Caenorhabditis elegans: one gene and its partner. The protein of the gene in region 1 interacts with the protein of each later gene in a pairwise test. Each region holds a gene or a part of one and is shown in the gene's direction. Other genes may lie near its edges.

Region 1 (3,930 bases):
ACAGTTTATCCCAAGAGAACGCAGAAAAACCGGCTATTGTCATCGAACTAGAAAATCGACTCGTCCAACAACGTGCACAACGTCGAAAAATCATTGCAAATGTCACTTTACAGGATCTTGATATTCCTGCCAAAGAAGCAGGTATGTGACTCTGAATACAGTTTCAAATAGCATGGATTTACTTCAATATTTAGGTACGTTTTCCTACGACGTCAAACCGGATTATTCCTCCTTACCAGATGAGTTGAAGAAGGTAAGAAAATTTGCCGCCATTTGAAGAAAATTATTCAATTTCAGGAAAGCAACGATGCTGAAACAGTTAAGATGCATCTGCGTACTTTGGAGGAAACGATCCAGGCAACTCGTAACGAATGGGTTGCTGTCAATGGAGCAGAGTATCCGGATATGAGTAATATTTTAATAAGATTCCACGAGACGGACAGCTTTATTAACATAGCAAAGTTACGCACAACTGAGCTAGAAGCCGAAATTGAACAGGTTTATTTAATGTTTTTTTCTGTTTAAATTTTTATGAATTTCTCTGTACCTGTGTATAGAATTACCTTGGTTTTTTGAAGACATTGTTTCATTTCAGGTCAAAGCCAGTCGCCGTACTCATTTCAATCAACGCCTTGCTGCAGTATCATCGTCTGTGAGCAGAATCTATAGAGAGATTTCTGAGGATCCGGATTCCACCGTTTCACTTGCGTCATCCAATGAGGATGAACCGTATGAATGTTGATCTGTTTGTCGGAGGAATAAATGAAGATCTCGAGCCAACTCGCTTCCACCGCGGCGGATCAAGAGGAATCGTTGCTAATCTGGCTCTTGTTCTTGCACTTCACGAGCAAACGGCTTATTTGAAAAATGTGCAAACGCCTTCACCACTCCTCGTGGTTGATGACATTGACAAAAGAATGTCGGAAACGACAAGCAATAAGGTTGGTCAAAAAACAGAAGCTACGGCTCATCTAAAGATAAATTCACTGTTTAATTAAACAAATTTCAGGTCTGTTCGTATCTCACCGGCCAGGACAATACTCAATACATTGTAACCACCCACAACGACAGTTACTTCACTAAACACACCACAACTTTCAGCATGCCAGATATCTAATGTCTTTTTTTACGTGTATCTATTACAATGTTGATACATTTACAAAATATAAAGCCTGACGAAAATTCCTTCACGAACATTCCCGACCATACTCGTCTTTCTTAAATCCGAAGTCCCAAGCTATTTCAATGTGATTAGTATAATAAAGGCAGTTTACCACACTTTCGTTCTTTTTTAATATTCATAATAATAATACTTTTTTGTTATTGTTTGCTAGATAATACTAAAGACTATAGATATAAATATTGTCGGTTCAATTCCATTTCTGAGACGGAGAGCATGAAGTACATTTTCTGATTTAAATACATACTCGGCAAATCATTTCTTTCCCGTTCAACTGCTTTTTACACGATTTTGGCCATTTCTACAACAGTGTCGATAGTTTTTGTTTTGCAGATAGACGCAGAGAAAACCAGCACCCATACGAATGCAGGGTTTCTCCCTCGCTGCACTTGTGGCCGTGGCCTAAGAATACAAGACGTGCTCATCATTGTCTGCTATTTTTTTTGAATTAACTATTTGCGTTTGTTTTTTTTTGTCTTTTTTGTCTTCAATTTTCTTGTTTTAAAAATGTTATTTATCACAATTTGATGTTGATTCTGACCGCTTTTTTTAAATTTGTTTAATTGCAGACATGACGTACCCGCAGCAACGACTACTAACAGTTGACATTCTAAATTTCAAATGTTACCAACACCACAAAAGCTTCGGGCCATTTGACCATGTGACAACTTTTATTGGAATGAATGGGTGTGGAAAATCGATTATGATAGAAGCTATTGCCTTTGTATTTGGCGAAGACTTACCTGATCCCAAAAATCCGCACAACGAGGTTAGCATAACATTATGAAAATCGAGAAAAAAATTATTTTACAGCACCTATTCTATGACTACAACATTCGATGCGTCGTGAGTTTGAAGTTCGAAATGCCAGATGGATCAACGAAAAGATTTACGAGAATTGGACTGAAAACTACATACACCTACATGATCTTCAATAAATACGTCACAGAAGAAGAATATTTATTGGAACTTGGAAAAATGAATTTCAGATTTGCTGGTCAAAATATATCTGTCTACAACAAAACAACACTAAAAGTCACCCGCAAAAGTGCAGAAGAACTTGGAGCATTTTTCGACATAGTTTCCAACTCCATTGAGTTCAAACCAGAATACGATGAGCTAAAAGCGAAATTGAATTTTGCGGAGAGTACTGTTCTCCGGTGGGCAAAAATGATTGATAGCATTGAACTAGAAAAAGAAAAGTTTATCACCTTGACGCTTTACAAGCTGTATTTATGTGATAAAGAAATCCAGGAAACCAAGGAGAAGTTTGTCGCAGAGCAGTTAAAAGTGAACGCAAAGGTTTGTTTTTTGTTAATTTATAAAGTAGAAGTGTACAAATAAAATTGTGAAAAAAACCTTCAATGCTTTTATTTTTTCCAGAATGCAAAGATGCCATTAAGAATTTCAAGATACTCAGAAGCAATTCCGAAACAAACTCCATCACCAAACTTTAAAAACAATGCGATTGTTGTCCGACCAAAGACTCACAATCATTACGACAATTTGATTACGGTGGACAAGCTGAACAGTTATTTGAATGAAAAAGTGACAGAACGTCGGGAGCTTCTTCAATTTGCTGTGAATCATCCAAACATGAACATTCGGTTTTCTGAAGAAGGTGAACATGTTTGTTATTAACTATTTTTTATTTATCTATCGTTTTCAGGCCCAAATATCTATGCAAGAGAAATTGACTACACTGAATTGCCAGAGTACTATAAGAAGGTTTGTAATGCATTGAAATTTAAAATATATTACCCAATGAGTTTGCAGGAAAGTGACGATATTATAGCTACTAGCTATAAACGCTCTATGCTTGAAAAAGAAATCAAAAAAATTCGTCAATGTTGGTTGGACGAGAATAATATCAAGGATGACGCAAATATCGATAACATAAACATGAGAATCAAGGAAGCAACTACGAAACATACATTGGCTCTGAACATTGAATCAGAGGCACGTTTAAATTGGGAAAAAGTGAGTGTAAAAATCTACAAGACCATATCAAAACTTTAAGTGGCATGGCTACTGAAGTACAATACCACATTATTTTGTAAATTTTCAGCTGAGAGTCATGCGAAGTGCACGTTTCAACAACTTTATGGCACCTTTACAAACGTCACTGAGCAGAATTTACGCTGAAATCGCGCAGGACGAGGATTCTCTCGCTTTTCTTAGACCATTGGACGAGGAAGAGCCCTACTTGGCAATTGACGCATTTGTGAAGGAACGCCACAGTGAGCACATTTCAACTCGAACGTTTCACGGTGGGTCCAGAATGATTGTTGATTTGGCTCTCATTTTTGCTATCCATGAGTGGAAACCTTCGCCACTTGTTGTCATCGACGATATCGACAGGAATTTGTACCATGAAGCAAGTAAAAAGGTTAGTACATATCTCGTTCAATCATTTATCAATATACATCTGAATGCAAAAAAAAACAACTGTATTTCGTTCAGTGCAATGTATTCTCAAAGTTTTGTCAAGCTGAAAAAATAAACGGAAACTTGAGACTGATTTTTAAAAAGTTGTGTCGTCGGCTGTAACAGTTTCTTATCAAATTGCCTAAAGTTAACGTGGTGCTTTCAGATTGAGCCATACCTCTCACGTCAGAAGCAAACCCAATTCATTGTGACAACAAAAGAGGACAGTTACTTTACAGAAGTCACCAAAACGATCACTCTCGAAAACTAATGTATAATTTGTATTTTGAAACATTTTGTTACTGGTTTTGTTACTGGTATGT
Region 2 (3,930 bases), on another chromosome or scaffold:
GTGACCAGACTTAGTGTGAATTATAACGCCAACTCCGTAAAGATTAATATAACCTCGTAGGAAAAAACGTCAAAAAGGATGGGAATCGTTCGTTTAGATTGGGAGCTCCATACCCTTACGGGTTTGGACGACACGGGTGACGTAAAGATAGAAGAAATCGGCGTAGAGAACAGTTTGTACAATTCCGGCAACAACGACAATTGGATCGAAATAGTCCTCGGTGTAGTAGCGGTAAATCCAGTTGAAAATGTAGAGAGCGCGGTAGGAGCCAAGAGCGAACAAGTAGTGAGCAGTGATGACCTGGAAGAAGAAACGATGAATATGGGAGAGAGATAGAAGGCTCAATTTGTGGCCTGGTGTCTGCGTCTCTACACCAAAATGTCTAATCCAAAAGAAATTAAGAAAAAAAGATGTCGAGTGTTTGCAAACAACACAGTAAAACTTATGAAAAGAATGGATTAACTTTCAGTCAAATTTCATCAGGTTGTTATATTAGCAAAGTTAAAAGGCTGACGAATCAATTTGGACTACAGCGGAGATGTGCGCGAAATTCGGAATACGGGGAAAACGGTTGGAATCGGGAGAAACGACAATTTCTAAGCACAACAATTTTCTTGTACTATCTCCAATTTTGCCATCTCTGGATTTTACACTTTTTTACGGCATGTCGAATTGAGAGGGAAAATTTTGCACGCTGAAGTCAAATTTGGCGCATTTATTGTATTATTTATTATTTTCCAGATTTACCTCAGCGGAACCGGTAGACTGGAGAAGGAAGAGTTGTGGAAGAATGGCCACAGCCTCCAAATAGATCGAAAAAGTCCAGAGCAACTCAAATGGAGCGAAATCGTGATTGATGAGAAGAGCGAGGATCGCAGCTGGGACGATGAGAAGCTCGACACGGAAGGTATCCGACTCGCGCATGTAAGTTGAGCGGAATTTGAAGAACATCAGATACACTGTGGCGTACGTAGCGGCGAGGAAGGTGATCTGAAATTTGATTGTATTTATAATTGTTACGGACAGAAAGTTACCTTCATTGTAGTGTTATACAAAGAAATGTATGTGGAGAAAAGATCCAAGTATCGAGCAGTGAACACGAGAGCGAACAGAATCTGCGACCGCGCAGAGATTCCGGAGCACGATCTGCTCTTCCAGATTTTGAGCAGAAGGATGATAATCGCAAGCAAGTGCGACATATCTGCCGATATACGGAAGATGTTCATGATGACCCTAAAAATTATCATACTTTGAGAATTTAGATACATACATCAGGTAAAGAAAAGAAAACGCAAATATGAAATGAATTGGAAAACACCTATTCATTCCAGTGAATGGGTATGTTTTCAATTATCGAGGTCAACGTTGTTTATCAAAAGATAACGGATAGAGTGATAGGGAACAGAGAAAATTATATTATATGGACGGTAAAGTTCCGGAGAACGAACAGAAATGGTTTAGAGTTTTCCTTTCGCAGACAAAAAAGAGTGCAATAAAAGCCAGCACTGAATGTGCCACGTGGGAATTTTGAAAAATGCAAATACAACGCAACGAAGCTAAAAAGGTTTACTGAAAAAAACTAAAAAATGGAACTTAAAACATAAAGACAAAATTTTTAAACATTGAATGCAAAAACTACGTGTATTTACAGTTAAAAAACACATAACCCTGCATTCAACAAAAAAACAAACATTTCGATTCGCTAGGTAAAATGCATGGAAATATTCTATGAAAACTAGAATGTTTGAATAGAGCATTTTGTTCGAACGTTCTGAATACCGAATGTTTTTTTTTTGTTTTCGAAAGACCTAGATTTTCTAAAATTGTAGGCCTACATGAACTTTTCAACCATTTTTTGGTATTCACATAATGCGTAGCTACATATTAATCAATTATCGCAAAAAATTTAAACTGTTTAATTGAAAAACGAAACGTTTTAGGCCGGAAACGAAGAAGAAAACTCGAGCCAAAAGGTCCATCAGCCAACGAGTCCACGCTGGACAATACGCAATTTCGCGTGTTGGTGTTTGCGTACATCGGCAGCTGTCCAATTTATCGATCAGTGTTCATTCATTCTCTTGTTTTTTTTGTTTGTTCACACCGGGCGCCCGATTTCTTGAGCTATCAAAATGTTTAAAAATAATCCAAGACAGCTAATCTTACAGACAATGATCTCGGAAAACGGATATATGGACCTGATGCGGAACTGCATTAAATGGAATTCCCGGCAAATGGAGGATCGTAAAAAACGGTTAGTTATTGATGTTTCGGCTACTTAAAAAAGATCCATTTGAAATCTGAATAATCTAAGTAATGATAAATCTTTAGAGCATTTAGGAATTATTTTTTGGTTGTACTAAGCCCCTAAAAGTTGCAGACTGCGGTTCCCATACTATGAACATCAAACGGCTACGGCCCAGCGAGAGTCTCGCTTCACAACCCGCAACGTGGATCACATGTATCCATCAAATGATCCAAATACTGTTGTTCAATTCGCAACCGAGAGATGGAAGAAGAGCAAGTCACAGCCACCATCTGATGCTGTTGAGATGAGCATGTTTTTGCGTGAGAATCCGTCTATTCAGGTTGCAATTGATCATCTCACTCCACAAGTTGTCGGACCAACAACTGGTGAGAAGCATCAGAACGATTCAACCTAATTTTTGTAGTTCGATTTGCAGAAAGTGTTTCTGATAGTTCGAACGACTCAACTACCATCAGACCATCCCGCCAAACACAGATCAAAGAGGAATATCGTGATGACTACGTTCTTGACGATGAGCTCTCTCCAGACGAGTTTGGCTCCGATGAAGATGATTGGTCGTCGCGTAAACGCCGTAAAGGCAACTTGGGGCCTGTTCAGAAAGCAACTTCGTCACGTAAAAAGGTTTCTTTATTTATTCAATTGTTTAAATAATTTTATTCTGACTGTTTAGGTACCAACAACTCGTTCCTCTGTCTCTCGATTGACCCCATCTCGTTCCATAGTGAAGGAAACAAAATATGAAGAACCGGAGGAGAAGACGTATCCATGTGACAGTGAGTGGTTGTACGGCGGATTAGCGAAGCCCTCTCGCCCAGGAGAACACACCATTCTTCTTGTCCTTTTTAGTCTTATTTGCCTCCCCCATCGCCCACAGCATGTCAGTTACCGGGAACACTATCATCATGATTTTTAGTTTAATTTTTCGTATCTTGATTCATTCGGTTTCGAGATTTTTCAAAAAATTAGGATGCTTGGAAATTGCACGAGATTATTTATGTTTTTGCATGCTTTAGTTTTTTTTTTAATTATGCATGTTTCTCCAGAGATCCAAGGAAAATTAAATCAAAAAAATGGGAAATTTGGTCTAAAAAATAAATTTTGGAAGATTATGTATGATCTTTTTTTAATATTAGTTTCATAATTAGTGGTGTGATTTGTAGTACTTCTTCACATAATTGTGGATCTTATCAAATGTATTAGCTTCCTTCCTCTCGTTATCAATTTGCACTAAGTCATAAGCCAATATGTATCCTGAATATCCCATTCTTATATCCCTCCTAGTATTTTATCCCTCTGTAAAAGAAACCTGGGCGAGAGGGACCTCAGTAAAAAATCCTGCGGCAACCGCTCAACTGATCAAAAATACATCTCTCCCACCCGGGACACGGGGTCTATCGAGAGGAAGTTTGTAGAAATATAGGCACTAAATTTAGCATGTACTGAGTGTTCCTGGAAGCTTATATGATGTGGCATAATGGGAAATCTGTGATTTGAAAATACTCTTTTCAAACCGCATATTTCCCAAGTCCTTTCGTTTGTAATTTAAAATTTTTGATAATTTTCAGAATGCAGCGCGAAATACAAAAGCCTCGCGGGTTTAAGCTATCATCAGTCGTATCTTCATGATCAAAAGTCTAGTCAACCACTGGTTAAGTGTAAGTTTT

What was found.
Region 2: the proteins of smcl-1 (region 1) and dpff-1 interact in a two-hybrid assay, tested with the Caenorhabditis elegans proteins (one large-scale study listed by BioGRID).

Annotation. Positions count from the first base shown.
Region 1 is NC_003284.9:11,691,715-11,695,644, forward strand, and holds the start of smcl-1 (Structural maintenance of chromosomes-like protein 1), read left to right. Parts: upstream 1-1,749; 5' UTR 1,750-1,751; coding exon 1,752-1,949; intron 1,950-1,993; coding exon 1,994-2,482; intron 2,483-2,537; exon of another isoform or gene 2,538-2,563; coding exon 2,564-2,801; intron 2,802-2,849; coding exon 2,850-2,908; intron 2,909-2,941; exon of another isoform or gene 2,942-2,956; coding exon 2,957-3,160; intron 3,161-3,248; coding exon 3,249-3,569; intron 3,570-3,773; coding exon 3,774-3,878; 3' UTR 3,879-3,930. Other genes in the region: C44C10.5 (DUF4456 domain-containing protein), read left to right, coding at 1-141, 195-253, 298-498, 596-742.
Region 2 is NC_003281.10:5,904,354-5,908,283, reverse strand, and holds the start of dpff-1 (Zinc finger protein dpff-1), read left to right. Parts: upstream 1-2,161; 5' UTR 2,162-2,168; coding exon 2,169-2,251; intron 2,252-2,377; coding exon 2,378-2,631; intron 2,632-2,669; coding exon of another isoform or gene 2,670-2,681; coding exon 2,682-2,887; intron 2,888-2,936; coding exon 2,937-3,039; intron 3,040-3,831; coding exon 3,832-3,921; intron 3,922-3,930. Other genes in the region: ER lumen protein-retaining receptor erd-2.2, read right to left, coding at 94-300, 748-990, 1,035-1,226. UniProt on the Caenorhabditis elegans protein: Probable transcription factor, involved in meiosis and stress protection.